Arabidopsis thaliana: one gene and its partners. The protein of the gene in region 2 purifies or fractionates together with the protein of the main gene of each other region. This does not show direct contact. Each region holds a gene or a part of one and is shown on either strand. Other genes may lie near its edges. The genes, in order: EIF4E, EIF2 GAMMA, AT4G39520 and La1.

Region 1 (7,058 bases), on a different chromosome or scaffold from region 2:
TAAGGAAGAAGGATTGATCCAAGAACAGCGATAATCGCTGGAACACCTCTCTCAAGCGCAAACTGGACTTGTGCTTCGTGGTTATCCCTTGGCGCAAACGACATAGTCAAAACATTCCTCTTAAGCATATAAGCACCCCAACTAGCAACCTAGAGATGGTAAATTAGCATCAATAAGAATCTAAGAAATGAATAAGATATGTTACTAGATCAAACAGAAATCGACTTACCCCACATCCAGTGTCCAATGCGGTTCTAACAGAGCCATCTTTGATAGGGATAACAGAAGCTAGCTCTTCAATATACGCATCAGCACCTTGAGGAAACATAGTTCCTCCACCAGGGAATTTAAACACATTCCCTTGAAACTGAACCCAATTCTGTCCAGCTTTTTCGACAGTCAAGCTCTTGAAAGGAGCATTAGCATAGTGAACATAATCTCTGCTTTTAGGCCAAGGGAAAGGAGTCATATACCCTTTAGGAGCTGGAACAAGACAACGCAGCTTCTCATTATCAGGAGGACAATGTCTCTCTCTGTAAATCATGTTCTCTCTCGGGAACTTCATAGCTCGGTCTTGCTCTTGACAAGGCGTGTAATCCTTGAGCTTCACATCACACGGTTTGAAAGAAACAGGTTTGGGATCAGCTTTATGTGGGATCTTCACTGTGTTGTGATGAGGTTCAAAATCAAGATCAGTGACAATGTCAGTACACTGCGCTTGCTTTGTAATCTCCATAGCTATGCTATCTCCTTTACCAAACCCACTCTTTTGCCATGCTCCAAGAAGATAGAAGAAACAACATAAACCAACCACAACGAGTAGAGATAGTGTACTTCTCGATCTGTTATTCCCTGGTGGGTTATGCTTAGAACCCATGATTCTTTCTAATCTCCTGAAACCATTCCCAACAAATCACAAACTTGATTCTCAGTATAACGACACAACTTTGAGCTTAAACATCAAGATCTGTTAAAAAAGGATCTAGCTAATTCAAACTAATCAAAACCTAGCCTTTAACAATTGAAATCTAGAGTTTATGGATTCAAAAGACTAATCCTAACATAGAAAGATTCAAAGACCGTAACTTTAGCACTGAAATCGAAAACACAGAATCGGATCTCGTTGAAACAGAGCTAGAACACGAACTAACAGTAGAGAAAAATATTGAACCTGGTCGATGTAGATCTTGTTGAAGCAGAGAGACTCTAAAATTTCTCTTATCAGATCTCTCTGGTTTAAGCTCTTTTCAGTGATGAGCTTGCAGTAGCCAGAAAGTATAAAGCTTTGTGAGTGTGACAGAGAGAGAACTCACTTAAAATAATGTCTTCTTCTTCTTTGTCTTCACTAATTAAGATTTGATTTTTAACTTGAAGATGAAGGCGCGTTTGATTTTATTCAATTTCTATAAACAAAACATGTTGGAATTAAATGTGTGTAGTTTCGCAGCAAGATCTTCATAACAATATTATTACAATACTCAATAGATTTAGATCTAATCTGGACTGCACATGCATCCTTATGTTTATTTTTATTCAACCTCTTTTGTGTGCGTTTATATATATAAACCTATACTTTATTATTTTGCATATTTGAAGCTTTTGGGTAGTTGATTGTAGCTATTTAAAATCAATTTCAGATTATGGTTTAGCATAATTGGAAAACCTTTTGTTTATATATTAAAAAAGATCAAATCCATATGCTATAAGATTGCATAATAATAGAAAGGAAAATTTTATTTGTTGAAACGAGTGATGTATTATTATTAGCCGAAGAATCTTGTCGTCCCAAGTGGTCCTTTTCAGACAGTTGGACAATTTACATACTCGCTACTTAGATCTCCTACCGACACTCCCATTTCCTCTAAACCGGTCACCGTCAAAAACCGAGTTAATCGGTTCACACTGCTAAATAATCATTCCATTAAAATAAATGCTGAGGTGGATCTTTAAAACCTAAATTAAAAGGTTAATTATAAAGGATGTAAATGTGACAATGTAAAAGTAGTTTTCTCTAAAACCGGTTAAAGTCAATCGCTCATGAGTGTACATGGGCTCTTGTCAAGTAAACATATACACTATTCAGGCTTTTAAGGCCCGCCTTGGGTAGACAGAAGCACTGTTTGTCTGTAAAGCTTGCGCTCACTCCGGTGGTTTTATACAAGGGCACCAACGTAAATATTATGAAGAACCATACTAATATATTACTAAATGAAATGTTAGAGCTTCGTGAACAATCAACACTAGCAAAGACAGACTGTCAAGTCATGTTTAGATAAATAGAGATCTCTCACATACAAAACTGTAATTGAAACAATGCAAAGATTTGAGAGGTTTCAAGCGGTGTAAGCGTTCTTTGCATTCCTGTCGAGCTTCTTCGCATCCTCCTGAAAAAAAAAGAAACCAAACCAAACAATGAGAGATCTGAAGAAAATGAAGACTTTTGAATTAGAATTATGAGAAGCTTTCTTCTTACATGGATGATGAAACCTATGCTGTTGTTGTAATCGAGAAACTCCTTCCATTGTTTTCCAATGCTCACCTGCAACATTTGATGCAGACGAGAATTAAAGTCTTATTTTTACACAGAGAGACTGTTTGATGAGTTTTGATGAGAAAGGTCTTTTCTATTTACCTGAGCAGCTTCGTTTGAAGCATTTTTAGTCCAAATAGATATCCTTTCTTGCTTTCCTCTAATGTTGACAACTGCTCCACATATTTCATCTCCATGATCAAACTGCTCTCCAATCAATGCAAGCAACTAAACCAAGCATGTAAAAAGAAAAACCGGTGAGATTCAATTGGATGATGACGCAGGAGTTACGAGTCAAAATAAAAGAAGAATAGAAACCGTACAGTGTAGAGCCAGCTCTTATCAGACTTCTCCTTAGGGAAAGTCATAGTCCATTTTCCTCCATTAGCACAAATAGGATCCTCCCACTTAGGTTCAATGATGTGTTTGAAACAGTAGAAGTCAGCTCCGTGAGCTAACTTGCTCGGATGCTTCATGTTGTTGTACAAACTGCAAACCAAAATGTCTTTTAAAATAAGAAGTCGAAAGAACAATACACAAACCTATGAATCTCATTGGGAAGAGCAAGAACTATACAACATCAACCCTCAGTCATCACGAAAGTGTTTGCTCAAATTCTGATACCTAGAAAACCACTAAGAAAGATTTCAAAGTTGGTCTCTTTCTCTCACAAACTTTGCTCTTCTACTTTACTTCACAAACAAGTGAACAGAATATCAAAGCTAAACCCTAACATAAGCTTTAGCTACGAATTCAAACACCAAACATAGCAATTCATCAAAAACATATAATGACTTCAATGGGATCTTCTAATCCCCCAATAAAGAACATAACTTTCCTCAACAAATCGAAACCTATAACAAAACCCAGATGCAGAATAATTGAACAAACCAGATATTGAGTCGGAAATAAAATAAAATCAAAAACCTAACCTCCAAAATTCCTCAACAGTTGAAAACGTAAACACGGGTCGCAAGGAACTTCCCCAAGAGGTTTGTTTCGATTTCACAGCAGGATTATCGAACCAGAAAGTCCATGAATGTTCCAGAGGATGCGATTCAGGAACACCGGATTTGCTCGATTCGTCAACGTTTCCGTCTCCTTCTCCTCCGGCGATCTCTCCTTCTTCGGCATCATCACCTTCCTCATGGTATCGATCAATCGGATTCTCTATTGAATTAGGCTTAGCTTCTTCCGTTACAACAGATTTGGGAGTGTCTTCTACCGCCATTGTTTCTCCGAACTGCTTCTCTTTCTCTCTATCTCTCTGTCTATTACTCTTCTCCAAACTAATGTACTTCCTCTCGTAGGGTTAACTATGATACGACGTCGTTTTAATTACATACTTCTTGTCTTTTTTCTTTTTGGGCCGAAGAGATAACTTAACAACTATTATGGGCTTTAACTTGTCTCCGGCTCTTTTTGCTCTTAAAGGTTTTTCTAATGGTCGTGTTAGTTTGAAGTACATGTACTAAATTATGTTTGTTTTGTAGTCTTCAAAAAAATCAAATAATTTTAGTGATTAACGTTAATTCAAAATATGAAACGTGAAAATGTTTATAGACTGAATTTTTAGTCATTAGTTGATGAAATCAGTCACCAAAACTGGTTGCCAAATTCGATTATTGAATTACTAACCACATAAACAAACAACAAACTTTAGAATTGGTTGTTTTCGTTAGTTTGGTCGTTGATCGCTAGCAGCTACAAAAAAGTTAAGAAAACATGTTGTTATTGTCAGAACTGTAAAACGAACATGATCAGGTTTTTATATGCTTTCACAAAAGCATATAATATGATTATTAAGAAAATGTGAAGTATTTTGTAGACTGTCAAAAGTTTGAGAGATTTATATCTTATGGAAGTGTTAATAGCTTTTGACTATATAAGTGAGTTTGTCTTACCTTTCTATTTCTAAAGGTTGTGATCTGCCTGCCGCCCCATAATAGTATTTCTTTTAAGATATTAAATTGTTTATGTACCTAGTTTGGGTTAATTAATATATATAATATGTTAGACCAACAAGACAACTGGATTATATTCTAAATCTAAACAATATACAATTGTGTTTAAGTTCCGTGCATGTAAATTTAAAAGTTTAAATCAGTGGATATACCACGTACAGAAACAAAACGAAATTTCTTATATTCATTCCATTGGTTTTATCGGTCAAACGAAAGAAAGGAGAAAATAAAAAGATTTCATAATGTTTCGCAGTCGAATGTATTCTATTACTTCATAGTTGATAGAGACGTATAACTAAGTGAAGCTGGTTCTATTCCATTAACTGTCAGAATTTGTTTATTGTGCATCACTACTCACTAGTAACTTAGTAAGTAGTAACTAATTGTGCAGAATATACTCAAAAAAGTTATTCTCGACACCAGGAGAGACTATAAATATAGAGTTTGGTTTTTGTTTACATTTCTATGCTATATATTCTTTAGATTTTATAAGAAATAAGATTATTTGATTCGCTGCAAAAACATAATTGCATGGCTTGTCTATATGCCGTCAAACCAAGAATCTCGAATGTTAGTTATACACGTTTCAAATATATATTTGATATGAGTTATTCGAGAATATATTTATAATGATAGTACATACGTAATTCGAAAAGAATAAGTTTAAGTTTGCTTTAGTTGTCAACCATTCTTTATACCAAAAATAAATAAATTGTCAACCATTCTTTATACCAAAAATAAATAAATTGTCAACCATTCTTAATCTAACTTCTCAGTGCGTGTGATTTTTTTTTAAGCAGATGTAAGAAAGAAAAAGGTTGTCGACGTTAATCATGGCTCATGCAATGAATCAAATAAACTTATTTTATATTTATCAACATATTTTATATACGGGAGATTTTTCAAATCTATCGACTTTTTTGTTTAGCAACGAGCGCTTAATGATGGTCGATAGATCAAAGTTTGTCGCTAGTTGACGTTTTCTTTTGTAGTAAAGAACTGATCAACAGTTTTTTTTTTTCTTTTTTTTTTTGTAAAGTTTAGAAGTGACTGCCTGACTGGTATTGACGACACAAGTGATAATTGATAAATGATGAGTTTGGATCGTATGAATTGACTTGTATGGTAATATTGCATAACGCGTCATCGTTTCTCCCATTATTCTATAAAGATTAGAATCAAAATCTCTTTTTAATTTCTTTTCAACTTTTAAAAAATTAACATTAATATTTACTTTTGAAAAGAAAGTAAACTTACAAAACATGTCCAAAGAACAGAGAAAATTTGAATCCATAATTGATGTACATTCTTTTTATGAAAAGATATGTAAGACTTACATAGAGTATATATAATTTAAATTGTAAAAAGAAATTTAAAGGAAATGGAAAACAAGGTTAATGCATACTTTGCTTCATCTTTTTTTATTAATCACTTTTATCAAAAATATATAAATTAATCACTATATTCTTTGGGTTTTCTTTTCCTTGACACTGTCATGAACATTTATGCGCTATACATGTAATCATTTCACATCAAATTGTCACTGATTAAGTTCACTCGAATATAATTGTCACTGATTACGTAATCATTGGTGAATGATGATGCCCAAGGAAGCAAACTTGTCTCTTATCTGGTGTTTATATTTGTTTGAAGTTATCTCATAACAACAACTCGATGCCAGAAAATTTTATGCCACAACAACAACTAAAATTATAGCTTGAATCTATCAATGAGCGGTGAACTATCCGTATGGCCCGTGCTTGGGAGATATATACCTAAGTAAGTGTTGTTTGATTATAAGAATTATTTCTCTTTGATATATATCGTACACCACATGATTTATATTACTCATTTCCTTTCATTATGCACATTTTATACAATTTTCACACATTAAAAACTATAAATTCATCTTATAATTAACATTTATGATATGCAATTTCATTTTATTTCATTAACTAAGAAAGCAAAAATTAAACAGAAAAGTTTGGAACTTAATTTTTAAAATATACATTGAAAAATATTTTTTGTTAAAGTATATAACAACATTTATTATGAAAAATGGAGTAATACTTAGAGAACACTTATAAGTTATCAACTATACACATATATACCATCTTTTCCAAAAGCAAGTTTTCACACAAATTTGCGGATATAAAGATGTTTGATTCTCCACTAAGGATTATCCTTAATCCATATGACTAAATTATTTTTAATATGATTCTTGTTAACTCTAAACCAATCAATTAATATGCCGACAAAAAAAAAGACCAATCAATATTATATTATACGTGTACTTTTTAGGCTTTTAGCTTCCCATCTTAATAACAAAAGTAGAACATTTACACCAAAAACAAAACAAAACTAGAACATAATAAGTGAATACAAAATTAAGCAAATAAAGAGTGTAACAGTTATATTATTATTTAGTTTGCTATCTGAACAAAACATTTAATTAGTCACATATCTTTGGTGGAGCCGAACGGAATAAACTATGGTCAAAGTTTGGGGGGAATTCGGAATTTCCGAATCGATAAATATTATTGGAATATATATTGGAAAGGTCG
Region 2 (8,301 bases):
ATACGTACACACGTTGATAATCAAGCTAATACGTAGTATTTGAGTTAGAGATTGATCGCTAATGATCAAACGGTCTATTCTGAGCAAATAATTGCATTTTTAGATACATTTTTAATTGGCCAGTGAATCACAATCGTTGGGAATGTGGCAAAATATTTGATTTCGAATTAAATGATTTAGTTAATTAATTAATTCATTGTTTTAAGATAAGAGTATTATCTATAAGTTAGTTGATTTGTCAACTGTTAGTTAATTAACTACTTCACCAAGAAATAAATCAGTGACTTAAGTTTATACTAAGAGAAGCAGAAAACACATGAGGCCACATGAAACTCCCGAGTTTTGTTTTTCTCTTAAAAAACGAGAACAGCTTTAGCGTTATATATATATATGGCCATTAGATATATAGTATAACAACAATAATAAGCCGTTAAGTATGGTTAGTGTTGTAACCGACTAACCGTCCGGTCAAAATTAAGAATGTTCAGTCAAAGTAGTTACAAGTTCATTAATTTCTAACATGCAAAAAGTATCACACCTTCTTCTTTGACTAATTATTTTCCACATAAAAATAATTAATGGTCATAATTAATTCTATAGATTAATGTTTTAATTCGTGACTAGAAATAAAGCTACATAAGCTTCACGGTATAACTACTGGATTAACCAAATACACGTTAGTAAATCAAATTTAATAATAGTCAGACTTTTATTTACTTCGTATCATCGTGATTCACACGGCAAATTCTAATTAACATAGTTTTAGTTAAATTATTACTTATTTTTTTAAAGTTTAAGTTTTAAATTTTCGGGAAAATTATTATTATGTTTTTTAAAATGAGTTTAACACTTTTTTCAATTGGATGGCTTTATTTCCTTTTTTTGTTCCCCTAAGGATTAACGGTCACATAAGGAATTTAAAACCTGGAGCGGACGCTTTTTCCCCGCTTCAAGAAGGAGCGCCTCCATTACAAAGTGGAAGCTATTGGTGGAAGAGAATTTGGCTCTGTGGAAGGGCAAGCCAATAGAAGGTATTGTGGAGCAAGTGCGTGATGAAAGTACCATTCGGGTTTATCTTCTTCCAGAGTTTCAATTTGTGCAAGTATTTGTTGCGGGAGTCTAGGTAACTAAACTTGTTTCCCTGCATGAAAGGTTGGCATGTTAACCCATCACTTTGGAACACAGTCAGCGATTCTTCTCATTTCAATGGGAAGGCGAACCACAAATGCAAGTGTTGTTGAGACAGTTCCAGATGAGCCGAATGGAGACTTGCTGCCTCTGCAGTCCCGTCTATGTAACATAAGTTTTCGCACGGATATACACAGTGGAAGGCAAGACACTCAATTCAAATCGCAAACAAATAACGTTCTTTAGAGAGAAGACATGAACATTTTGACTAAAAAGTCGTATTTATTATAAAAAGTCGTACTTGATCGGATCCTAATGAGTAATGAAGTTGTTCCTTTTCTGAAGAAAGTATGTATAGTCAAGTAGCAGAGTATCTCTGACAAAAATTTCAAAAAAAAAAAGAGAGACAACAAAATTTAGTAATATCTAAGAGAAAAACACAAACAAAGAGCAAACTAGTAACAATAACAAAGAGCAAACTAGTAACAATAACAAATCAGGTACTGTTTGAAGATGTTTAATCCGCAAAGACGAACTCTCCAAAATCCCCCAACGAGAAAAAGAGTTTTATTATCTTTTTGAGGGGTTTAACAATCTTTTTTTCAGAAACACAAACAAAAAGGACAAAAATAACACATAGCTTAGAAAGGTGAAGGAGGAACTTCGATGGTGGTTCCAGCTTGAATCTGACCCCAACCAATCAAACGCCAATGCTTTTCCACACGTCTGCTTAGAGCCACTTTCTCTCCTTTGCTGGTACAAACAGGCGCAGTCAGTTGCAGTTTAGCCAGATCGACTTTAACTCCTACAACTTTGGCTCCAGTGGACATCGAACCAATGTTGAGCATCAGAATCTCTCCTTTCGTTAGCTTTGACACTTTCCCTTGTTTCTCTGATCCCTTTGTTCTCACTCCCAACAAACGTCGTAGAAGAAAGAAGTTCACCTACAGATTTTACATAACCACAAATTAAAAGGAGAAAATACACTAAGAGACCCATTAGGACCATAAAGACTGAAGAGTATGGTTGTGAGGAGTTGTTTATACCTCGAGTTCAACAAATACATCAGGAAGTGAACCGATTTCACCAAGGACTTGACCAACTAATCGATCTGCACGAGTGAGAGTTGGGTCCATTGTTGTTCCAACTCCTATTAGACCTCCAGGAACAGCAAACTGAAGCTCGTTCTGTTCCGCGTAGAGTGAAATGATGCGAGAGTAAATTGGAGTGCATTTTGAGTTGCCACGCTCGTCTTTGGTAACGATACCAGGTCGGATTTCGATTAATTGGTTGACTCTCAAAACACCCTACAATATACATGTAGTTAAGAGATACTGATTACACCATATAAAGCTTGATGTACTTAAGAGGCACAACAAGAGAAAGGGAGAGAGAGAGAATAGATACCCGTAGGATACTTCCACCTGCAACTCCACCTTTGATCTCATCAACCTCATAACCAGGTTTGTTGACATCAAAAGACCGAATCACTATCATATTTGGGGGTGACACAAAATTCCTCTCAGGGATTGGGATCTTCTTGACAATGTACTCGCACACCACATCAATGTTGTATTTCAGTTGTGCTGAGACAGGGACGATCGGAGCAGCATCAGCAACAGTGTTCTGCAACAGGATGTGAAAGAAATTTTAGAACCAAGTTCTTCAATACTTAGCTTAACCAAGTGACGAAATGAGAATGCTACAACAGATCCTTAAGAGATAAGAAAACCTAACCATTATAAATTTCTGAATTGCCTCGTGCTGATTAATGGCAACATTCTCTTGAATAAGATCAATCTTGTTCTGAAGGATGATGATATGCTTAAGTTGCATAATCTCAACGGCAGCAAGATGTTCAGACGTTTGTGGTTGTGGACAAGTTTCATTTGCAGCGATTAAAAGTAGTGCACCATCCATGATGGCTGCTCCATTAAGCATTGTTGCCATGAGAATATCGTGACCCTGAAGAATAGAACAAGAATACATTCAACAAGAATGAAGTAGAGATAAGAAAAGCAAAAGATGGAAACATCAATGAATACTTCTCCATCAACCCTCACTCTTTAAGCCCTTCACCCAATTAAATGAGAGACCCAAAATCATGCAGGTGGAGCACAACAACATCGATAATACACAATAAACGAACAGCTCATTGACACATGAAATGGTTATACACTTATACTATCAAATGAAAATGGTAATTAATGAAGAATAAAGATAACGGTAAAACTCATCATACCGGGCAATCAACGAATGAGACATGCCTCAATAGTTTCATCTTGGAGTTTTCAAATCCGGGGACATCACAATTGGGAGTGTCTTCCTTTCCACTTCCGTAGGCCCTAATACAACAGATAAGTTGTTAGACCTTGACTCAAACCTTATAGTAGAAGTAGAAGATAAAAACACTGTTGTAAGAAGGACTCACTTGTAGCACATTGGTCTAGGGCATTTCTCATCCTCACATTTGTAAATCTTGGCGTTTGCATATCCAAGCTTAATGGTAATGTTACGCTCCAATTCATTTTTAAAACGGACAGTCTGTACAGAGAAGATAAGGAAACCATAGAAATCACTTCACCCACTCCAATTGATCAAACGCTGCAAGCTAGAAAAGCCTCTAGGATTACAATTGTGAAAACCGCATAATCAAATTTTACCTGGACACCAGAAATAGCTTTAACAACAGTGGACTTTCCATGAGCGACATGACCAATGGTTCCTGAAACATAACACTATCATCTTTAGCTTATAGGAACTGCCAGTTTCTTCAACATCAACTTATATAAAAGACTCAAAAAAGCGTTACCTATATTAATAGTGGCCTGGCGAGAAATGACCTCAGGAGACAGAGGATGTAGCACAGTTACATCCAATTTTTTAAGATCTTGCTCAGCCAAACCCTTGTTCCTCGACATTATCAAAGATTGAAGCTTCTGCTCCTGCTTAAAACCGAGCATCAAATCAGAACCCTAACCCTAGTTAATCTGAAAAAGACTACTTCTCAGGTTTTTCTACATCTGCCCTAATCAAGTCGACACACAGATTCTATACCTGAGCTCCGTTACCTAAATATCACAATAATTTCGATTCGCAATCTAAAAAAACATTATGATTACGATTAGATTCCCCGAACTAATCTTCGTGCGATAGAAATGGGAACAATTAGGTTGAACAAATATTGAATCCGTAGGAGATGTAATTCGAGATCGAAACGAACCTGAGCGATGCGAAAGAACAACGGAGAAGGTCAAATTTGAGAGATAAAAAAGAGTGAGAAAGCGGCGCAGCTTGAAGAAGATGCACAAAATGGTTTTTTTTTTTCTATCCAAGTCCCTAAAGGGTTTTTGGTTTCCTTCGCGTAACCTTTTTTTTTTTTCCCTTTCTAAAATTTCTTACAAAATAATGAAATACTAGTATTTAATTAAATTACTATCAGTAGAGACTAATTTACTTTTTCTATGAATCAAAGTATCAAACCCAAAACATTTCATCATATTAATTTTATGTGCAGGGCCGGCCCGACTAAATTTAATGCCTAAAAGCAAAAAACAATTTGGCCCAACATAAAACACAGTTAAACAAAAAAAACCATAAAACTTTTAGAATTCGAACTTGAGACAGACACCTCAAGTGAAAGGCCTATTTGCGATCGACTATAAGCGTTCGTGTTCCTCTATCTCTCTCGGGTTTGTCAATTTATCTTTCCGAACCAGTTATGAATTTGTTTTTTTTTGGAAGGTTTTGAAGTCTTTGAATCTCGGCTGTTGAAGTCAGAAACGTTGGTTTTAAACCAATATCACCAGGTGTAATGGAGTTTGATTGAGTCCCAAATTTTTTAAAAAAAAATCACTGAAAAGAGTTGGGGCAAGTTTATAACAAATTAAGTAGATTAATTCTGTACAACAACAACAAAGGATCTTCATCGTGTAGAACTTGAGCCGTGAAAAAAAAAAACCAGATAATAATCTTGGGTCTAAAATGGAGAAAAAACTTTGAAATGGGGTCAAATAAATAAATGAATGAATTGGTGAGAGAGAAATCACAGAGGTTTTGCAAGAAAGAAACAACCCCACAAGAAGTAAAAATTTACACTTTTGTAATCTTCTTTCCTTTTGGTTCAAGAAGGCACCCCTCCCCCACTCAGACTAAAAAGAAACAGAGGAAGAGCTTTTTTAGAATCCGAGCTTCTCACTAGTGCAAGAATACGAATTCTGGGTTTTCCAGTAGCTCTTTGGCCGGTTTGACACTCGCAAAGTCTTTTTCGTGCATCGAATTCGAAATCTCGTCTATTGAGAAGGGAATGCTGCGAACAATAAACCGGTTTTAGTTTCTACTACTGATATTAATCTTTAAGAAATGATTCGAGTTACCTGGAATTATCATCCAACAAGAAGGAATTGCTGTCGGCATCGTTGGATTCTTCTGTCATGAGCGCACGCATGCTCGATATTACCTCTTGAGACACACTTCGGGTGTTATAGCAGTCGTCCCAGTATAATGTGCATATCCGGTAAAGTTGTTGGACACTAAGGATCTGTAATAAAGTGAAACAAGAAAGCCATTAAGTATGGAGTCTAGGCAAAAACGTGTTTCTAGAAACTAAGAAGGAGCTTTACCGGGCAAAGATCATGTACTATATCATCGTATGATACTCTGTACTTCTGGTGGATAACCTGATAAGTTACGAGAGGAGAAGTATTCGTTTTTGAAGATTCAAGAAACAAGAGTTCCACAAGTTAGTATTAAACAAGAGTAAAACATACCAGGAACCCAACAGCTTGTCTGATGTGTTTCAGTTCATCCCAAGATGGCCCAGCATACTGCAAAATCAAAGAATGATATAATGAGCCGAAAGAAACTTTTTCCGGAAGGAAAACGTGAGGTAGGAACTTACTTCATTGACTTGGCCGCACCACAATTCTAGCTCTGCAAGCCCAGACTTTACAAATTCTCCATTGCTGAATGTACAACACTCTTTACGCAGTAGAAGGCTATTGTAAGATGTTAAGGAAAAAACCAAGTAAGAAAACACTAGTGATCTTGGCTTATATCTTCCATAGGAATTTGAGAAATATCAACCATAGGAAGGTTTGTACTTTGACGAGTATCGATGATAAGGTGTGTAGAAACCATTAGATGTAATTCTCAAGTATTATTTACCTGTTAAATAGTTGCACATTGACGAACGAGAAAGTTTGAGTGTGTATCTTCTGGATGAGTACCAAAGGAACCTGTACACCATGAAACATATGAGAATTTGAGGATTTGAAAACAGAATAATGTCATGGAACTTTTACTATTTCCTTACATAATTATCTTTCAATATGGCAAGCAGCGAATTGAGACCATCAATAATGCTCTGCCAGTGAATAGCAGGAGAATCTTTTCCAAGAGATCTAGCAGATCTTTGTATCCCTCCTTTTGAAATTCTCGGTGCCTGAAGTTCAAAGTTTTGACAGAACAGGACTTGTTACAATAGTAAAACACATTTATTATCAAGGTGCAACGCAACAAGCGAGTGGTCACAGCATTAGGATACAACAACGTAAAGTCAGGACAAAAATATATAGCTGCAAAGAGAGAAGTCAATGAAACCTGAATGCACATAGATATTAAAGCTGAGAGCTCTTTCTTCAAGTTATCCCTAATCATCCCAAATATTTTCTCCACATATGCTGCAAGCTGTTGCTTGAAAAGCAGAGCCGGGTATTTTGCCTCCACTGGGCGGATCACCGCAAGAGCAGCAGCTTCAGCCGCAGCAGCAAGGTTTGGTGATGAGCGGAAGCTCTGGTTAAACAATAAGGGAAAGGATAGTTAAGATTCAAAGTAAAAGATCCGTCAAAAAGCCCTACTAACACAGAAAGTTAAAATACCAAGGCCATTCTTCCAAACAAGGAAGTTGTTATGGGTGGCTTCTTGCTTGCCGTTGCTCCGGCGCCAGCAGGTTTAAGACTTTTTTGAAGTAAAAACAGTAGTGCCGATGTGTTTGTCAACCAATACGCCAAATGACCATTGTCATCTTCATTCTGAAAAGAAAAAAATTTCAGTAGAGCAGCAATTGTTACTTCCAAATGATAAGACAAACAAAAAAAAGGCTTATACTCCTCTCCACTAGATGATTAGTGTATGATAAAAGGATATAAGAGAACATACAACATATAGTGTCAAATTAGAAAGCAACGGCTAGTTGAATCCTATCTCAAGCAGGTGACATAATAAGTTATGCAAATAAGTCTTTCCATGCCCTAGGAATTAACAGCCATTTTACAAGACATACATAAGAATCCTCATTTTGGGACATATCAGTATCTTCATAATGGCACAAAATGCACCCCAATTTACCTCAATCGCGGAACCAATCATCTCAATAAGACGATCAAACGCACTAGTCTTCTCTGATTCAAAGCACTTCCAGTGAAGAAGACACTTGTATATTGTAAATGCAGCAATAGGTTTCCCATTACTGAAACCAATGTTTTCCTTAACACAGTCGATGAGAGTATCAACATTCTCCTGCACCGGCAGAGAAAATCAGATTAACAGAGTTACTTGTTAAAACTGTTTGCATATATAGTATAAAGTGATTGGCCAGTACAAGTTGACGTTCTGCAGCAGATTTCCCAGCATTTCCATTGACCTCAACTTCCTGAAAAAGTATACTTCTCAGATGAACAAACCAACAGAAAATGCAAAAGAAAAGGATATGAGAAATCCAAGAGATCAAGATAGTAGTTTTGGAAGAGCTACCCTACATTGAACTGGTTTTCCAAGTTTGTACGGTGGCCATTTTCCAGATTCTGCAAACAGGACCAAAAAGTTTAACATCAAGCACAAGTAGAAGGTAACACAAAAGACCATATGTTTCAGTATCTTAGAAACAATTCTACCTTAATAGTTGCAGTTGGAGGATGCCCTGCTACAGATTTCACAGGAGTGTTTAAGATTGTTTGCTGAAGCATAATTTGTTTCTCAGTTTCCATGTCTGAAATCTTCTCTTCAAGCCTGCAAATGAAACATCAGCTTATTGTCTGAACAAGATAAGTAATATATTACTGCCACTGCTAATAGATAGAGTCATGCAAACAGTACCTCTGCATCGCAGTCTTCAACTTCGCTACTTTAGATTCTGCCGCCAACGCTTGCTTTAGTCTATCCTGACTAATCCTG
Region 3 (8,732 bases), on a different chromosome or scaffold from region 2:
TACAAATTTCAAGCTGAACATCTCTTAGTAATTGTGACTCTAAGCCCATGCTTCATGTGCAACATAAGACCAGGTTCTGGCTCAATCTTCTGTCCTTTGATAACATCAATATCATAGTTTTGTAATATCTCCACAACTACGGTCTTCATTAGAGTCATAGCTAATTGCTTACCAGGACAAGTTCTCGGACCGGCGTTAAATGATAAAAACTTGAAGGAAGGTGCATGTCTCAACCCACCGGACTCAGAAACCCATCTCTCTGGCTTGAACTCTGTTGCATCTTCTCCCCAAACCGCTCTCATCCTTCCCAACGCGAAAAGAAAAATTATGATGACTGAGTTTGCTTCTACCTTATGCCCACTTGGCAGCACATCTGGCTTTATAGGAGACTTGCGTTGGAAGGCAACCGGTGGATAGAGCCTCATTGATTCATACAACGCCGCATGTAAGTAGACCAACTTGTCTAAGTTCTCTTGGCCATTTCTTCCGTCTTTTGAAATATTTTTGTCGATGATCTCTTTACGAATCTTTGTTACAACTTGAGGGTTTTCAGAGAGAAGCCAAAAAAACCAAGAGAGAGCAGAAGACGTTGTGTCTCTCCCAGCAAGATTGAAAGCTAAGATGGTGTCTCTGAGGAACTTATCATCACTCGGGTTCAAGAGCTCGTACTTGGTTGTATCAAGCTTTATGTGAGATGTCAAAAGATCCTCACTTTCACCATTTGCATGATGATCAATCCCCTGTGACCTTATCTCTTCTCTCTTAGCTAATATGTATTTCGCAGAAACGCGATCAAAAGTGGCATCAGCTTCAGTCATCCTCTTCTCTTGCCCTAACCCAAACCGGTTTTGCAGCTTCCAGAAGAACTTCGGTTTAATGTGCCTATAAAAAATCCCTTCTCCAAGATCGTCAAGAGCTTTAGCATACTCCACTTCCGGCATTTCAATAGAGAGAGATTTAGGATCAAACCCGGTAACAATAAAGAAAGTTGTATCAAAAGTGAATCTTTGAAACACTTGCTGCAAATCCACGACCTTCTCTTCCTCACAACATTGATTGAAAAGAGGAACAAGACCATCGTAAAGCTTACTCCTCGTTGCACTCAATGATAGCTTTTGAAAGCCTTGATGATTAAGCATGAATTGAGCAGCTTTTCTTTGATTCTTCCATAGCTCCGAGTCCGAACTAAAGATCATTTCTCCAAAAACATCAAAGACTTCTTTAAAGTCGGCACCTTTGGTATAGTTGGAGAAGTTTGAGCTCAATATGTAGTGAATATTAGCTGGATCAACTGTGAACAACATATCCATTTCAGCGAACCACGGTCCCTTAAATAGAAAGGTTAAGTGGCTCATTTCAAGAGCCTCCACGCCGAAGTTGTAGATGCGGTGGAGAACCATCAGGAAGCCTGGAAGCATCCCAATAACTGGCCAGTTTCGAAAAACCTGACCATGAGGTTTCTTGAAGTACATGTAATAGAAGAAGAAAAGGCAAATGATGGCTATGGCAACGTCAAGTAAGCTTACAGAAGCCATATGAGAGAGTTAGGAGCTTGGTTTACAGACACAATATGGTGGTGGTTCCTTTTGTGTGTTGAAGGAACTTGTTTATATAGAGTAAGATTATTACATATATAAATTAGCAACCAACAAAAAGAAAATTTATTAAAAAAGAAAGAAATTACCAATGCATTCATTCAACTGCTTTTCATATCTTAAGAATTAAGATTAGTGAAAGTGTTAAGCTGGTGAAGCTACTAACCACACAAATGGATGAGACAGAATTGGTGGAGGACTTGTAAAGAAGGGTCCATAATCTTACAATTTCAGACACTAAATGACAAACCAACTTTAAGAGGATAGACAAATCGAGAAGTGCATCAGAATTCACGGTCCCAGACACTGCAACGAAGGTCGTTGTAATAGTTTTCCAAATCTATTAATGTCATTAAATTTAATCAACAGTCCAAGTAACAACTAACTGTCAGAAATAATAACACCTCGACCTGGTCAGTGCAATGAAGGCCGTTTTAACAGTTTTTCTTTATTACATGAAGAAAAACTGAATCATATGTTTAGTAAATAAAATCCAAAAAAGTCTAGTTGCATACATAAAAACAAGGGAGGAGAAAATCTAGGCAAACCCATACTGGAGATAATAGGAGGTGTTCCGACAACATCAATCACATGCTTAATAGTATTATTGGAAGAAGACAAAAGTATCTAATAAGACATAAAAAAGGGTGTAGACACAGATTTCGTCTGGATATAATAATACAATTACAAAAGAAAGATAAAGCTGAGAAACCAAAAGAAATCCTGACCTTCCTATAGGAGATCTCATTATGGCTACTTTGGTTGGTCTCTTGACTGCTCTCCATTATCTGCAAAAATCATATCTTTTTAACGATCTGAACAACATCCTCGTCCTCAAGCTCGTGTTCCTGAAGTATAAAATACGATGTCGAGACAGCAATAGTTAGTTAGTCAGGGATATTGCAATATCGATTTACCAGATTAACTTTTGTTTGATTTGCTAGAAGAACTAACCTTTCCAACTCTTTGTGGCTTGTGTTTGGCACTTGAACCCCAAACCAGAGCGCTGTATCAGGAGATCATTAGTTAAGTATTCATGAGCGATGCTTTTGAGCAAGAACCATATAACAGAGAAAAGAAAAATGTTAAGGATTTTAATTACTTACTACTTGAATTGTTTAAGCATGTCTTTGTGAATCCGGATGCAGAAGTCCTCTACTGTTCTCTTCTTGGATGATAAGATTACGGGATCATCATAATCCGGATTCATTGCCTTTGGTTTTGTGTAGATTCGAGTTAGATCCAAGTATTCCCATATCTTGTCCAGAAGTCCATCAAGATTCCACTCCAGATGCGCACTGCAAGATAAATAAATTTATATCTTAATGGCAAAAGTAAACAAGTTTATCGCAAATCCTGCCGGTAATTTAACAACATTTACCTGACAGGACAGTAATGAGGAAGTTTGTCCAAAATTTCAAGTTCCTCAAGTGTGATTGAATCGATCTTGTTGACAGCATAGATACAGGGCATATAAATCCGACTGCCCTCGATGACATCAATGAGGTCATCAGCGGTTGCATCGTAGCGCAGGGTGATGTCAGCATTGTGCATCCTGTACTCACCGCAAATCGCCTTGACGGTGTCAAGGTCAAGGTGTGTGACAGCGACTGTAGAAGTTAGATTGATACCACCTTTGTCTTTTTTCCTAAATGTTAAATTTGGTGGCTCCTTGTTCAACCTACATAGCAACAGTCCATGATCGAGTCAGACTATCTACCAGAAACGATCAAATATACAGTGTATAAAGGTTGTTATATAAACAATCTATACCTTATTCCGAATCCTTCGAGCTCTTTTTCAATGAGACGCTTGTGAGTAATTGGTTTTATGGCATCAAGAACTATTAAGATGCAGTTGCATGTCCTAGCCGTACTTATAACCTGGAAATAGTAAAGTGTGAAAGATGATCAAAGAGGGTCAAAATATAAAATACTCAAGAGATTTAGACTCGACTTACCTGTCTTCCTCTACCTTTTCCATCTTTAGCACCCTCAATAATACCAGGAAGATCTAATAACTGCAAACACATAGAAGGGGACATAAAAAAGAGTATTAGCATCAGTGTCCAATGAATAATTACAGGTCGTTTCCTGACTTAAACTAAGTACCAAGAAGTCATTAAAAGATCAAGCAAGATACATGTTTAATATAGAAGTAAGACTCGAGAAAAGATAATTACAAGCTAGGACATGGCATATGTAGCCAAGGATTTCATTGTGTTTCAACAATTACCAAGACAGAGGAAACACTATCCAAGAATTATCATTTTTCCCCCACAAATAACAGATTAACACAGACGCATAGATGTAGATACCATACCTGGATTTTAGCTCCACGATATGTGATAACACCAGGAATGCATGTCAAAGTCGTGAACTCATAAGAAGCAACCTGAGAAAACATTGTGTATCACAGTATGTACCTTCAGAAAATTGAGTATCAGCCAAAATACAGTTCTAATTCCAAGATTTATGTTCATCTATCCAGGAAAAGACTAGCGCCGAACAGTCTTGCCTTATAAGTGATATTGCACAGGAAGTTGGTCAAAAAGTAACTAGAAATAGGATGCCATGGATACGTGGTAGGTTTCAAAATTCCAATTACAACAAGAGAAAGGAAGTTCAATATTCGTAACGATAACTACAAACCTCGGAAAATGTCCCAGTCAGCTTGTTTAATAGCGTAGATTTTCCAACCGAAGGAAATCCGACCAGTCCAACTCTAGAATCTCCACTTTTAGTCACATCAAAACCTTCTCCAGCACCACCACCGCCACCTTTGGTAGGCGGTGCAAGAAGGTCCCTCCGAAGCTTAGCAAGCTTGGCCTGCAAAATGGACCAGTGAAATATGACGAGAAGCTAATGGTGCAGGAATAAGTACCAAATTCTAAAATCAATACAGAATAATATATAATGCCTGCCTAGTAGTTGTTTGATCCAAGGAACTTCACAAGAGATCATGCCGTAAATAAAATATCTCAGCTTTGTGCTTATTCAATGATTTGGGAGTTCGTATAAAACATAAACGATTTCAACCAGAAGTTAAAATATTTCTTAATGAGCTTGCTTACTGGTTGGGATTTCATGATAGCTTTTATCAAGTATCAAAACAGATATAAACCAATCAACCAAATTTGCATTTGATAAGCAAAAACACCTCAACCAATCAACCTCACTCTCAAAGCTACAAAAAACGACCTAAAGAGGAGAAAAAATGTACCTTTAACAAACCCAGATGATGAGAAGTAGCTTTATTCTTCTGTGTTTTAGCCATCTGCCACATAAACAAAAAAAACCTCGTACTTGTGAGTCACCCAGATTGAAAAATCATTTCTTTGATTCAGAATAGATATTTCGGATTCACAGTTCTATGCATCCAAAATTGAAGAGAAGAGGTGAAGAATCAGAGAGGATTGAATAATTACCTCATCTTCAATTTCTTTGATCTTCTGCATAATAGTCGACATGGTTGCAGTCAAAGCACAGAGAGCTCACGGAGACAACGTCAAGGAAAAGAGGTTATACGCGAGTGAAAGGAAGAAGGACACCGGAATCTCTGATGCAGAGAAATTGACGACGACGGACGAGACAGAAGCAGAGGAATCCCGAGGGTTTTCGTTTCGTCCACCTGATTACGACAAAGGAGAAAAAACTAGAACAGAACTGTCTAGAATTCGGCCTGACCCAACAACATTTTAGGCCCATATATGTCCGATTTGGTTTTCCGGTTTAATAAAATTTACAACAGAATGAGAATTTAGTTTGGTTATATACAATAAACCCTGTTCTGAATTTTTGTTTTGTTTTGTTTTGAATTGGTGTTTTTCGGTTTTAGTTGATTTCAAAAACGGTTTAACTAAATTCAAATGAATCATGTACAACATACCATTCATGCATTCACCATTACAACTTCTCTCTCAACCCGGTTTTAGGAGATGATGAGAAGAAACTGAGAACTGAACCGGGGTTAATTTTTGAGTCTTCCTTCGGATTTGAACGGAACAGAATCGATTTTCCCTTGATTACAAAACTTAATAGCAACATCTTTGCTCTCCTGAGCTAGCTACCCCTTCAGCTTCTCGATATTAACCATGGCTTATTCTTTCTTCTTTGGCTCGCTTTTAAGCTTCATCTGCTGCATTGGTCTTTAACCAAATAGAGTCCATCACTCCAATAGAAAATGAGTTCTTGTATGGTAGTTATTAACTAACTCCTCTGATCTGCACAAGTAAGTCGTCTAACACTTCATAAATTTGATTAGCCTTGCAGTGAGATTTATCCTTAGACAAAAATATATGAACCTCCTTATTAATCCCAATCCAACTACGTCCAGGTTCTTTCACCACACCTTCAACCTTCATTCTTTCTCTCACCTTCTTAGCTTCAGTCCACATACCCTTGGACGCGTAAATATTAGAAAGCATAGTAAACGATCCACTGTCCTTGGGATCAGACAAAATAGCCATTTCAGCAGCATGTTCAGCTAACTCGACGTTACCGGCCTTTGCGCATCCACTCAGCAAGCTCCTCCATACTATAGCAGCTGGTTTTGTCGGCATTTTCTCAATTAACTCCCTTGCTTTGTTCAATCTACCAGCACGGCCTAAAAGAGATACCATACAAACATAGTGCTCAGTTTCAGGTTCAATTCCAAATCGAAGCATTAACTCAAATTGCTTAAGTCCATCTTCTACAAGACCAGCATGGCTACACGCTGATAGAACTCCAACAAAGGTGATGTAGTTAGGCTCTATTCCCTCACTCATCATTTTTTCAAGCATCTGAAGAGCCTTTTTGCCTTCTCCATGATTCGCATAAGATGAGATGACAGAATTCCAACAAACTACATCTCTTGAAGCTGCTGAATCAAAAGCCTTATGAGCGTCTTCGGGACTACCACATTTGGCGTACATATCTAGTAGAGCATTTGTAATATACGGATTACATTCCAAGCCTCTTTTCAGAAGCTGGCAATGGAACTCTTGACCCAATTGAACACTTGCTAGGTTGCCAGCTGCTGTAACCATGTTGGCAAACGTGAATTCGTCAGGTCTTTCTCTTGATAACTGTAATTCCAGAAACAGGTTGAGAGCTTCTTCGTTCTCTGATTGTTGAACATAACCTGCAAACATAGAATTCCAGATAACAAGATCTTTCACTTTCATTTCATCAAACACAAGCCTGGAATCCTTGAGGCAGTAGCAATTTGAGTAAACATCAATCAAAGCGCTTCCAGCAAATATATCTAAGTTTAACCCATATTTGAACATCAATCCATGGATTTGTTTACTCAGTCCCAAGCTTGTTAAAGAAGCAGATGCACGTAGAAGGCTAACAAAAGTCAATAGGCTAGGTCGAATCAATCTGAACCTCATGTCACGAAAGATGTTCAATGCTTCATGTAGTTCCCATTGTGTCCCAAGTCTCGAGTAACCTTCAATCATTGCATTGAATAAAACCACATCAGCAGCAGCGAAAATATCAAAAACTTTTCTGGCATCGGTCAAACAGTCACATTTCGCATACATGTCAATCAAGCTGTTAGTCACATAGCTATCATTGCCAAGATTGGCTTTGATAGTGTAAGCATGAACTTGTGTTCCAAATCCCAAAGCATGAAGTGAGGCACAAGATGTGAGTATGCTAGAGCAAGCATACATATCCGGCTTTAAACCAAACTTTGACATACTGGTAAACAATTCCATGGCTTCTTTATGAAGAGCGTTCTGCTTATAACCAGAGAGCAAAGTGGTCCACGAAATGATGTTTTTATTCGGCATTCCATTGAATAGCTTATGAGCCGCTATAACTCTGCCACACTTCACATAAGAATCTATAAGCACATTCATCAGTGAGGCATCCATCTCAAGTCCATATCTTAAGATGTGCGCATGAATCTGCTTCCCACCTTCAAGAAACGGAAGTATTGAACATGCACTTAGAACCGTCGAAAGGATGTAGCCATCTGGAACAACATTGTCTTCCATTAGTTGGTAGAACAGCTGTAATGAAACGTAGCTTCTTCCCATTTTTACACACCCACTGATCATGGTCGTCCAAGTCACAGTAGATTTCTCTGGTAAAGCATCAAACACAAGCCTCGCATAATCGATATTACCATCCTTCAAATAAAAATCAATCAACAAGGTACCAACATAAACATCCCTATCAAACCCACTCTTGACAAGAAAACTTTGTAGTTGAAACACCATCCAACGCCCACGACCATCTAAGCCTGAGCAAGCTTGAATAAAACTCGACAAAATATATTCATTCGGACTGTCTTTTCTAGTTCTCCAGAACTCTAAGAAAACCACCAAAGATTCCTCATAAATCCCATGATGGTTGCAAGCTGAAACCATGGTAGACCAAGAAACTAAGTTTCTCTCAGGCATTTTCTCGAACACCTTACGTGCATAAACCATACCACCAGCTCTCGAATACAAATTGATCAAAATGTTGCTAAGATACGTATCTAACTCGAGGCCCCAAACAATAATCTGACCATGAACTACATTTTGATAATGCAACAGATCATCTGACGCACGCAGCTGCAAGAGACGAGCAAATTCGCGCCTTCCTCGGATTCCTATCGTAGAAGGAAAATCTGCGTTTACAAATTCCAAAAGACTTGAAGCAGAAGAAGATGAAGAGGAGTATAAACGTATGGTTTCTTGGACTTTACGCCAACAGCGATAGCTTCTCATCCTCCTGAGTGAGAAGAACAGAGCGTGCTGTGACGAATAAACATGCTGCCGTTTTTTGTCATAAGCGAAGAAAGGGTGATGGAACTAATAAATAAAACGGCAACCAGTTATACTACCAAACATCAAAACGACAGGTGGCTGATGATATTGGATGATTTAAGTTTTTTGGTTAGGTTTGGTCGAAAAACAAGAACGGTAGATTTTGATGGCCCGGCATGTTACATTGCGTGGGCCATCCTTTAGCAACATATGTTGAATTTTAATTCCACGTTTCACCTACCAATATTCCTATTTGGACGACATTAAATATTCCTATTTTATACATCATTCTGCTAATAAATCTTGAAATTTGTAAAATATTTACATTCATTTATGGTTAGTAAATACTCCCTCCGTTCCACTAAGATGAATTTTTTAGAAATTTCACA
Region 4 (7,794 bases), on a different chromosome or scaffold from region 2:
CTTCTTCCAGTTCTTTCCTTGAAAACGCTCAACAGCTTTACACAAGACTTCGTCCTGATCCAGAAAAACAGAATTGATACAACAGAAAACTTCATAGAGACGAATTCTTCAATAGATGCAAAGGATAGCTAATGTCAACTAGTTAAATGGAACTGTGCGAAGCAACAATAGGGTGTTACAGAGACAACTGATTAAGCTCAGGCAGTGTTCCAGGATACATAATATGAAGCATGGAAGAATCAGATAGACAACAAAAAAGACACAGGAACGGAACGCACCTCTTCAGGTGTCCATTGTCCTTTGGTAGATCGTCTAGCAGGGCCAGATGTCCTCCTATGAAAATGTCACAAAGAGCTTGCATCATTATTAACCTGAGAATGTCTAGTTGAATGCAAAATTTGGTGCCAAAAGCAATCCAACTTCAACATTGAAACCCAATAGAAGAAAAGGAAGAGAGATGTAAGCGTACCCTTGTTTTCCTTTGAGGTCACCTTGGAGACTCTCTAGTGGAGTAGTAGGTGCTTTCATCTCACGCTTCATAGTTAGCAAGGAAAGCAATATGAAAAACCCCAAAGTCCGTTTCTTTGATATGTCTTAGAAATCATCATAAGCGAAGCACATTGCTGTAATTTGAAACAAAGATAAACCATAAAATTAAAAACACAGTCGGACTCAGACTAAGAATCAGCATTAGCTTCACAGCAAAAGAGCAAACTAAAGTCAAAACAAGGAAGAAGTTCACAGAATGAAGAAGGTAGCTTTAGATATTGAGATTGGATCCAAAAAAACCTAAGATAAGAAGCCCGAATTAGTTTCAGAACCCAAAACAAAAACCTCGAGAAAAAAGCTTCGAACATCATCTGAAGAAAATCGAAACTTTATACGAAAAAAAGTAAGAGAAGTTCAAAGAGTAGATTTTTGAAAAATCAGGAAGAAGTCTCCGTGAAAACTAACAAAAATGTGACCATAATAAGAGAAGGAGACGAGGTCATACGAGTAAAGCTCACACCTTGCAGATCAACGAATTCCAAAATTAATCTGAAGTAATTAAGACGCTGAGAATCCAGATGAAGAAGAAGAAGAACACAAATCGAAATCGAAGTCGAGAGAGAGAGAGAGAGAGAGAGAGAGAGAGAGAGAGAGAGAGAGAGAATGAGAGAGAGAGAGAGAGGTATTCAAAACTCAAACATGGAGAGGCGGACGGAATTCGAAGTGAGAGAGAGAGAGAGAGAGAGAGATCAAAACAAAAAGGAAAGTGATCTCAGCCGTTGATTTCAATCTCTGAATCTCGCTTTTTAGTCTCTCATATCATAAAAGTTCAATTTATTTATTTATACGTTTCTTCATTCATTTTTCTTTCGAGATTCTCTGTTGCTTCTTCTTCTAAACAACGGCAAAGCATTCTTTGTATGAAAGAAGAGTTTTTTTCTCATTAAAAAGGAAGAAGATGAAATTGCCAGTAACAGCTAATTCTAAAATCAGCATAAAAACCTAATAACAATGTAGACAAAGTCAAACGAGAAGACCAAGAAGAATACCAAAACTATTTGATTTTCAAAATTAATTTTAACTACTTCAAGTAAAATAGTGTCATCATCAGTGAGTCAATTGATACAGTTGTAGAATTTACAGGAATATACTTTTAGCAGTTAATATTAATAGTTTGTCTTTTAGAATGCTTCCTAAACATCGATTTAAAATAATTAAGGAAAGAGATGTGTGCATAAGAAGGCACATAAAGCTAAACAAAACAATACCAAATATGACTAAACCAAAATTTGCCAAATAAGCAGCTATTTCTAGTTATAACATCACGAGTCACCAGTCGATACATTAAATTTAAAGTTGCAACTAGAAATATATTGAAAAACAGAAGCAGTCACGAGCGAAATCTCTCATGCTTCCACCTTCTGAGATTTGTTCCAGCGACCACCCGGTGAATCTGATCCCCTCTTTCTCCCGAATCTCCCTCCTCTTCTTCCTCCCCTGCATAGACCAAGTATATTATTATCTGAAGAACCAAACAAAAACTTCATTTGAAACAAAATCATAACAAAGAAACCAGAACAAAAACATGAACTCACCTTCCTCCACGGCCACCCTTGTCAAACCGATCTTTGCTTCGTAGGAGAGTCCAATACTCCTTTTCAGCTTCGCCTGACAGAGAGCAATATAAACAAGTGACCATTTAACTAAAGCAGAACACAAGGTTTAGTTATAAGATAAGATTGAAGTTGAAAAGGTGTTTTTACCAATAACAGGTTCTAGGACAGCAATAAAATTCTTCACGGCTAGTCCACCTTCATTGGCTAATACTGCTGCTGCACGGGCTTTCTGGGATGCTTCAGGTTCATCAAACCTAAGATAACCCGTCTCAGATCCCATCTTGAAATCAACAAACTTCACAACAAAAAGAATAAAGGAATCAGTGAAAATGATGTCAGTTATATGAGATATTGAATCTGATTCATGTTGACAGACAGCTAAGTAAAACTCAAGTAGTACCTTGACATCACCAAATTTTCCGAAAACAGCCTTAAGATCTTCACGTAAGACAACATCCTTATTATCTTTATGGGTGGCTAGAGCACCCTTTTCTTCTTTCTCATCATCTTCATCCTCTGCTCCCTCGGCCTGAACCTCACCAGTGTTTTCTTTATCAGCATCAGGAGTATCTGCTGGCTTTGTTTCACTTTCTTCCATTGTCTTATCAGTTGGCTCCTCAGAACTTTTTTGTTCCGTGGTACCCTCTTCAGCTGAACGCTTGAGGGTGAATGAAATGATCAAACCCTTGGGATAACTACAATACGATAAAATAGCCATAATCAGATCAAGAGGATTATTAGCATGAAAAGACAAGTAATTAGATAGCAACAGTCAAACCCCTACTCTGGCTCATAAGCAGAATTGTTTTTGTGATCAGAACCATTCTTCTGATTTGCAGATCCCTTCTGAGGTTGGTAATTAGCAAATTTTACTTCATCCTTCTCCCTTTCATTATCAAACTCTTTCCTGAAAAGAATATATCACCTTTTAAGTAACCCATCCAAACATTCAATGGAAAGACTTGTAAAATGAGAAACAGTCAGCAAACAGGACATGTTTTCATGTCTAAGTATGATTACTTTGGTTTCAGCTCCAACTCCTGACCAGCAAAGACCAAATTCTGCTTCATAACATTCTGGGCATCCTCTTCTGTAGGGAACTCAACCAAGGCAACACCAGAAAATATCCTCGACTCTGCAACATGACGAGGCATCCTCACACTATTAACCTGCAAGGACGACACATACATATACCAAAAACTTGTATAACCAATCTAAATTTTGAACAATGGCTTATGATTCAATCGATAGTGGATTACCTTTCCATACTGACTGAAAAAGGATTCCACGTCTTCCCTTTTAACATCATAGGAGAAAGGTGACGCAGCTACTGTTCTAGCATTAAGTTGCTCAATCAAATCTTCCAGCTTCAACAATTCAGTACTCCTACCAACCTTTTTCCCTGTTTAAGAAAATCCAACAAAATTGATCACTAAACTGTACAAAACATATTTCTCCAATCTGACACCACATATTATCAAACTTGTAAAATCCACATGCAAAGACTTTTCTTAATGAAACTAAGTTTAAACTATGCACTACACAGGCCATTCACCTATAATTGAAACTCTCAAACTATTATCTTTCTTCTAAGATATCACTACTTCGTTTGAATCAATTAAAGCAATTGTTAACTATATCCAAACCCAACAGAAACTTGATTATATCATGAAACTCACCATCGTCAGAAATCTTGAGAGCAGAAGAGGTTCGAAGAGTATCAGCAACAGCTTTGATGGTATCTTCAGGAATATCATCTCCTTTAGAATCACCCAACTTCAAATATCCTCTCATCTTACTAAAGGAGCAAATCAACGCCAAACTCACCACTATTTGACAAACCAAAAAATCATCAATTAGCCATAACAAAAAAAAATCAAAATACACAGCGATAGCGACTGAATTTGTTTAAAAGTTTAAAACTTTACAGCCATCTTCGCTCTCTGTAACAGTCTTCTTGAGGAAATCATCAATGGGTAGATTACTATCACTGAAATAGAACTCCACCTATAAAATCGATATCAAATATCAGAACATAATCGAAAGAAAAAAAACTGGTGAAGCTACTAGAGAGGAACCGCAGAAGAAGAAGAAGAAGACAAGTTTGTACCTGGCGAAGAACAGTTTTGGCTGTCTCTTCGGTTAGACAAGGAATCGACATAATTGCTCAATGGCTCGAGCGAAAGATAGAGGAGGAGGAAGATAGAAGAATAAGAGAGAAAAAGGGTACTAGGGTTTATTGAGACACAGTTTCCATTTTCTCTTAAAGTTTTCGAGTCAAATTGTCATTTATTTATTTATTTTTTGGTTTTTCGCTATTGATTATATTTGTATTTCGTATTAACCCTTGACTTTTTTAATACTATCAATTTAACCCCACCCACTATACTTTAGAATGTAACAAAATTACCCCAAATAATCCTACACTATCTGATTCACCCCATTACGTCTTTTCGTTGGCAATTGATCAATATTTTCACGATTTTTTTCAATGATCAAGATCAAGACTTGAACCAAAAATTCATACTTCAATCAGCACAACATTTGTATTTTTGAGTCGTGAAAACACTACAAACTCTATCAACAATTCTTATTTAGTTGTAAAGAGATATATTGATTATAGAGTTACAGCTTACGTTTGTTTTGGAGTACAATGAGATTGACATTCGCAATAATGTTTGTACTTGTGTAACATAACAACGTTATTACATGTGCAGCTAAGAAACTTTTTTTTAGATTGATCAGTCATGTATCTCATGCACAACTTTTCTCCGTCTTGGCTACATTTACCGTCCAAGTCTCCTATCGTTGTACACAGTTTCTCAGCTTCCACTTCTATTGTTTTCTCAACCACACAAACCAAAAAAAAAAAAAAAAACGTTAATTTTAGTTCGATTAATAAACAAATGACAATCCAAATAAGTTCACTATTAAACCATATGTTAACGTTGTAACAATGCTTTTTATTTCCTTTAATCACAACACCGTTTTTGCAATTAGAAAGAACATCCTTGTTTTATATCTTATTATATACGAGTTACGTCCATACAAAAAAAACTCAACATATTACCTTTACCACCTCTCAGAACGAGTAACATGAGAGTATAAGAAACTATAAACCAAATAACAGATCTCATGATTGAAAAGCTGATAAGAATTATTAATTATCTCTATAGTTGCAGAAAACTATTGTTTGCCTCTCGAATTTTTTATCTTTCTTATCAACAACACTCATAATAAATATATTCGAGATATCGTAAAAATAGATGCATCTTTTTTTAGAATTTGCTTTGTAAAATTCAACGAGCCTTCTTAATTAACGAGTTCGACGGATCAACTCTTTCTTTTTTGGAAAAATTCTTCTTTGTAAATCTACTTACTAGTATTATATATTTTTCACTTTTTTTTTTTGCGTGTATTGTGATGACGCATCACCTATTCTTTTCAAAATACACAGTTCTAACCTTGATAATCTAAACTCACAAAATCCATAAGACCATTAATTTACAATGTTTAATCCATTGAAAATTAATCTATAGACAAACGTTCAATCTTTATAAAACAAATTTATGGTTTTCTGGGATCAATCCTACTAGCAAGGAATAGATGAAGCAGAGATGCTATGGGAAAACATTCAGGTTGTGTACTGTGTAGGATCAATCAACTCGACCGTCGTCGATCATTTGACGATAGGCCAAGGATCCAAAGGTTCACACTACTGTTCCCGAGGCTTCACTTGGCTGATGATTTTTTTTTTATATGGTTATGTTGTATGTGGGGGGAATCATCGAGAGACCTCATCCAGGATGTTATCCTTAAGAGACAGAAAAGCTTAGGGAGTGAACTTTTTTTGGTATTGAAACATATTTTTTTGTTCTGTATACTAATTTTATTTGTCCACATAAGTTTTCAAACAAATTAATAAACAGTTTGTATTAAAATTACATCAATATTACAAATGCTAATAATTAATTTTTAAAAATAAAAGATTGAAGTCTGCAGATAACATGATAGTATTAGTATTGTAGTACCATGGCCAATTACAAAATGCGTAATTACACTATAACAGGATCAATACAATTTGGAAAACTGAACGTGGAAAATAGATTGATTGGAAAACTCATACTAACTACTTAGAAAGAAGTAACTCATAACTTTATTAAAAATTTGTGTGGAAAAAGAGAGATACATTAGAATAACATAACTTATTTATGGGTCATGAAAATGACAACACTACAAACACTCATAACAATTCTATTAGTAAAAACTAAAAAATAGGTAAAAGCAATGTTGGTTAGGGGAGTTTATCCTGAGCAGCGATGTTTACAGTCGCAAAAACGTTTGGTCTTGTGTAACATGTAAAGGTTAGTACATGTGCAGCTAACATGTCTTTCTTTCTTATATTTATTCGTCATGAATTTCAAGCACCCCTTCTCTCCTTCAAAGTCACAATTTCCATCGATGTCTTCTATTCTATTACACAGTTCTTTGGCTTCCACTTCTACAACAAGAACTGTTAGTTTGTTTTTGGTTGAAGCTCTTTAGATAAAACAATTATTGATAATGCAAAAAAAAAAAAACAAAACAAAAAACATTGTTCTAGAACAACATTTTTGTTAGTTTTTTCTAATGTCAACACTGTAATTTTGTTTGCCAATAATTTGTAAGGGTCATAGTTCTATATTACGCAAGTAACGAAACAGAATCGAAAGAAAATATCTGGTATATATTACCTTTACAGACGCTAAGAACGAGAAAGACAAGAACGTAAGAAACTAAAAAGCAAGTAGCAAATTTCATGATTAATTAAAATAGTTGATAATAATCTTTTGTTCGTGTTACTTGAAGAAATTTATTGTGTTTTAATCTTTATTCTCATTACAAGTATTCATTTTCATCATCAACACTCGTTATAAATATTCTTAACTCAGAGCAAAAATAGATTGAGCTATATATAGAAAATCATGCTTTGTGAAATTCAACGATCGAGTTCAAAGAGCCAAGTAAACAAGTTCGACAAAATTAGTTTATATTTTTAGAAAAGTTGTTATTTGACGTCTACTTCTGCGGCAAGATTTTTTGACTCTTGATTTTGATTCCATCGTTTGATCTGAAGTTTCCTGGAAAAAATCATCACCAAACTGGGAGAAGCTAATTGGACTCTCGGCGGAGATCCAACGTATAAAGTGATTTCCTTTGATTTGACCTCTTTCACTGTTCGTATTTTCGATTCATTGTTTTTCTCTTACTCCGATTTCGTGTTTGCTGTTAAGTCTACATTATATTCCAAGAAAATTGATTCTGATAGGAGTAGTTCTTGTTCTTGCTTTGAAGTAGACTATAGCAGTGCCGTGCATTTTTAGGCCACATTATTAAAAATATTTGGTTGGTTTAACAAGTTTTAGTTGCCTCAAACATGTATTTTCCTTAAAGTTTGATCTATGTTAGAATAATTCATTTCAATATATAGATTTAGAACCTTGATTTTGTATTGTAGCTCACTTTTTCTCTTCTAGTTATATTTTAGGTTCTTTAAAAATAATTATTCAACTAAATTAGATAGGCCACATTTTATTTTTTTTGTCCCAAGCCCCAAAATGCCTTGGCACATCATTAGAACATGAAAGAACTCTGTATCAAAAACATTAATGAATCACAACAATTTGCTCTTAATGATCTTCATGAATGT

Evidence for each region.
Region 1: the proteins of EIF2 GAMMA (region 2) and EIF4E fractionate together in Arabidopsis thaliana (co-fractionation; one large-scale study listed by BioGRID). This does not show direct contact.
Region 3: the proteins of EIF2 GAMMA (region 2) and AT4G39520 fractionate together in Arabidopsis thaliana (co-fractionation; one large-scale study listed by BioGRID). This does not show direct contact.
Region 4: the proteins of EIF2 GAMMA (region 2) and La1 fractionate together in Arabidopsis thaliana (co-fractionation; one large-scale study listed by BioGRID). This does not show direct contact.

The regions. Positions count from the first base shown.
Region 1 is NC_003075.7:10,014,391-10,021,448, forward strand, and holds EIF4E (eukaryotic translation initiation factor 4E), read right to left. Parts: upstream 3,843-7,058; 5' UTR 3,762-3,842; coding exon 3,463-3,761; intron 3,020-3,462; coding exon 2,854-3,019; intron 2,759-2,853; coding exon 2,633-2,758; intron 2,540-2,632; coding exon 2,474-2,539; intron 2,385-2,473; coding exon 2,334-2,384; 3' UTR 2,140-2,333; downstream 1-2,139. Other genes in the region: AT4G18030 (S-adenosyl-L-methionine-dependent methyltransferases superfamily protein), read right to left, coding at 1-149, 230-877. UniProt on the Arabidopsis thaliana protein: Component of the protein complex eIF4F, which is involved in the recognition of the mRNA cap, ATP-dependent unwinding of 5'-terminal secondary structure and recruitment of mRNA to the ribosome.
Region 2 is NC_003070.9:1,093,171-1,101,471, reverse strand, and holds EIF2 GAMMA (eukaryotic translation initiation factor 2 gamma subunit), read right to left. Parts: upstream 4,591-8,301; 5' UTR 4,352-4,590; exon of another isoform or gene 4,186-4,351; intron 4,074-4,185; 5' UTR 4,050-4,073; coding exon 3,941-4,049; intron 3,854-3,940; coding exon 3,792-3,853; intron 3,673-3,791; coding exon 3,560-3,672; intron 3,474-3,559; coding exon 3,371-3,473; intron 3,094-3,370; coding exon 2,866-3,093; intron 2,755-2,865; coding exon 2,536-2,754; intron 2,436-2,535; coding exon 2,175-2,435; intron 2,073-2,174; coding exon 1,770-2,072; 3' UTR 1,571-1,769; downstream 1-1,570. Other genes in the region: XIB (myosin XI B), read right to left, coding at 5,326-5,437, 5,505-5,668, 5,751-5,807, 5,898-5,954, 6,029-6,125, 6,295-6,365, 6,443-6,571, 6,730-6,921 and 6 more.
Region 3 is NC_003075.7:18,368,937-18,377,668, forward strand, and holds AT4G39520 (GTP-binding protein-like protein), read right to left. Parts: upstream 5,304-8,732; 5' UTR 5,065-5,303; coding exon 5,023-5,064; intron 4,872-5,022; coding exon 4,818-4,871; intron 4,424-4,817; coding exon 4,247-4,423; intron 3,990-4,246; coding exon 3,918-3,989; intron 3,616-3,917; coding exon 3,556-3,615; intron 3,479-3,555; coding exon 3,369-3,478; intron 3,277-3,368; coding exon 2,977-3,276; intron 2,894-2,976; coding exon 2,702-2,893; intron 2,602-2,701; coding exon 2,550-2,601; intron 2,444-2,549; coding exon 2,393-2,443; 3' UTR 1,929-2,392; downstream 1-1,928. Other genes in the region: CYP96A12 (cytochrome P450, family 96, subfamily A, polypeptide 12), read right to left, coding at 9-1,535; AT4G39530 (Tetratricopeptide repeat (TPR)-like superfamily protein), read right to left, coding at 5,800-8,304. UniProt on the Arabidopsis thaliana protein: Binds GDP and GTP, and has low GTPase activity in vitro.
Region 4 is NC_003075.7:15,783,785-15,791,578, reverse strand, and holds La1 (La protein 1), read right to left. Parts: upstream 4,386-7,794; 5' UTR 4,267-4,385; coding exon 4,216-4,266; intron 4,113-4,215; coding exon 4,034-4,112; intron 3,935-4,033; coding exon 3,785-3,934; intron 3,508-3,784; coding exon 3,365-3,507; intron 3,275-3,364; coding exon 3,126-3,274; intron 3,013-3,125; coding exon 2,890-3,012; intron 2,801-2,889; coding exon 2,506-2,800; intron 2,401-2,505; coding exon 2,253-2,400; intron 2,158-2,252; coding exon 2,085-2,157; coding exon of another isoform or gene 2,081-2,084; intron 1,987-2,080; coding exon 1,896-1,986; 3' UTR 1,583-1,895; downstream 1-1,582. Other genes in the region: PC-MYB1 (Homeodomain-like protein), read right to left, coding at 1-54, 279-333, 470-540; SCRL24 (SCR-like 24), read right to left, coding at 4,738-4,940, 5,176-5,242; SCRL25 (SCR-like 25), read right to left, coding at 6,410-6,606, 6,839-6,905. UniProt on the Arabidopsis thaliana protein: Binds to the 3' poly(U) terminus of nascent RNA polymerase III transcripts, protecting them from exonuclease digestion and facilitating their folding and maturation.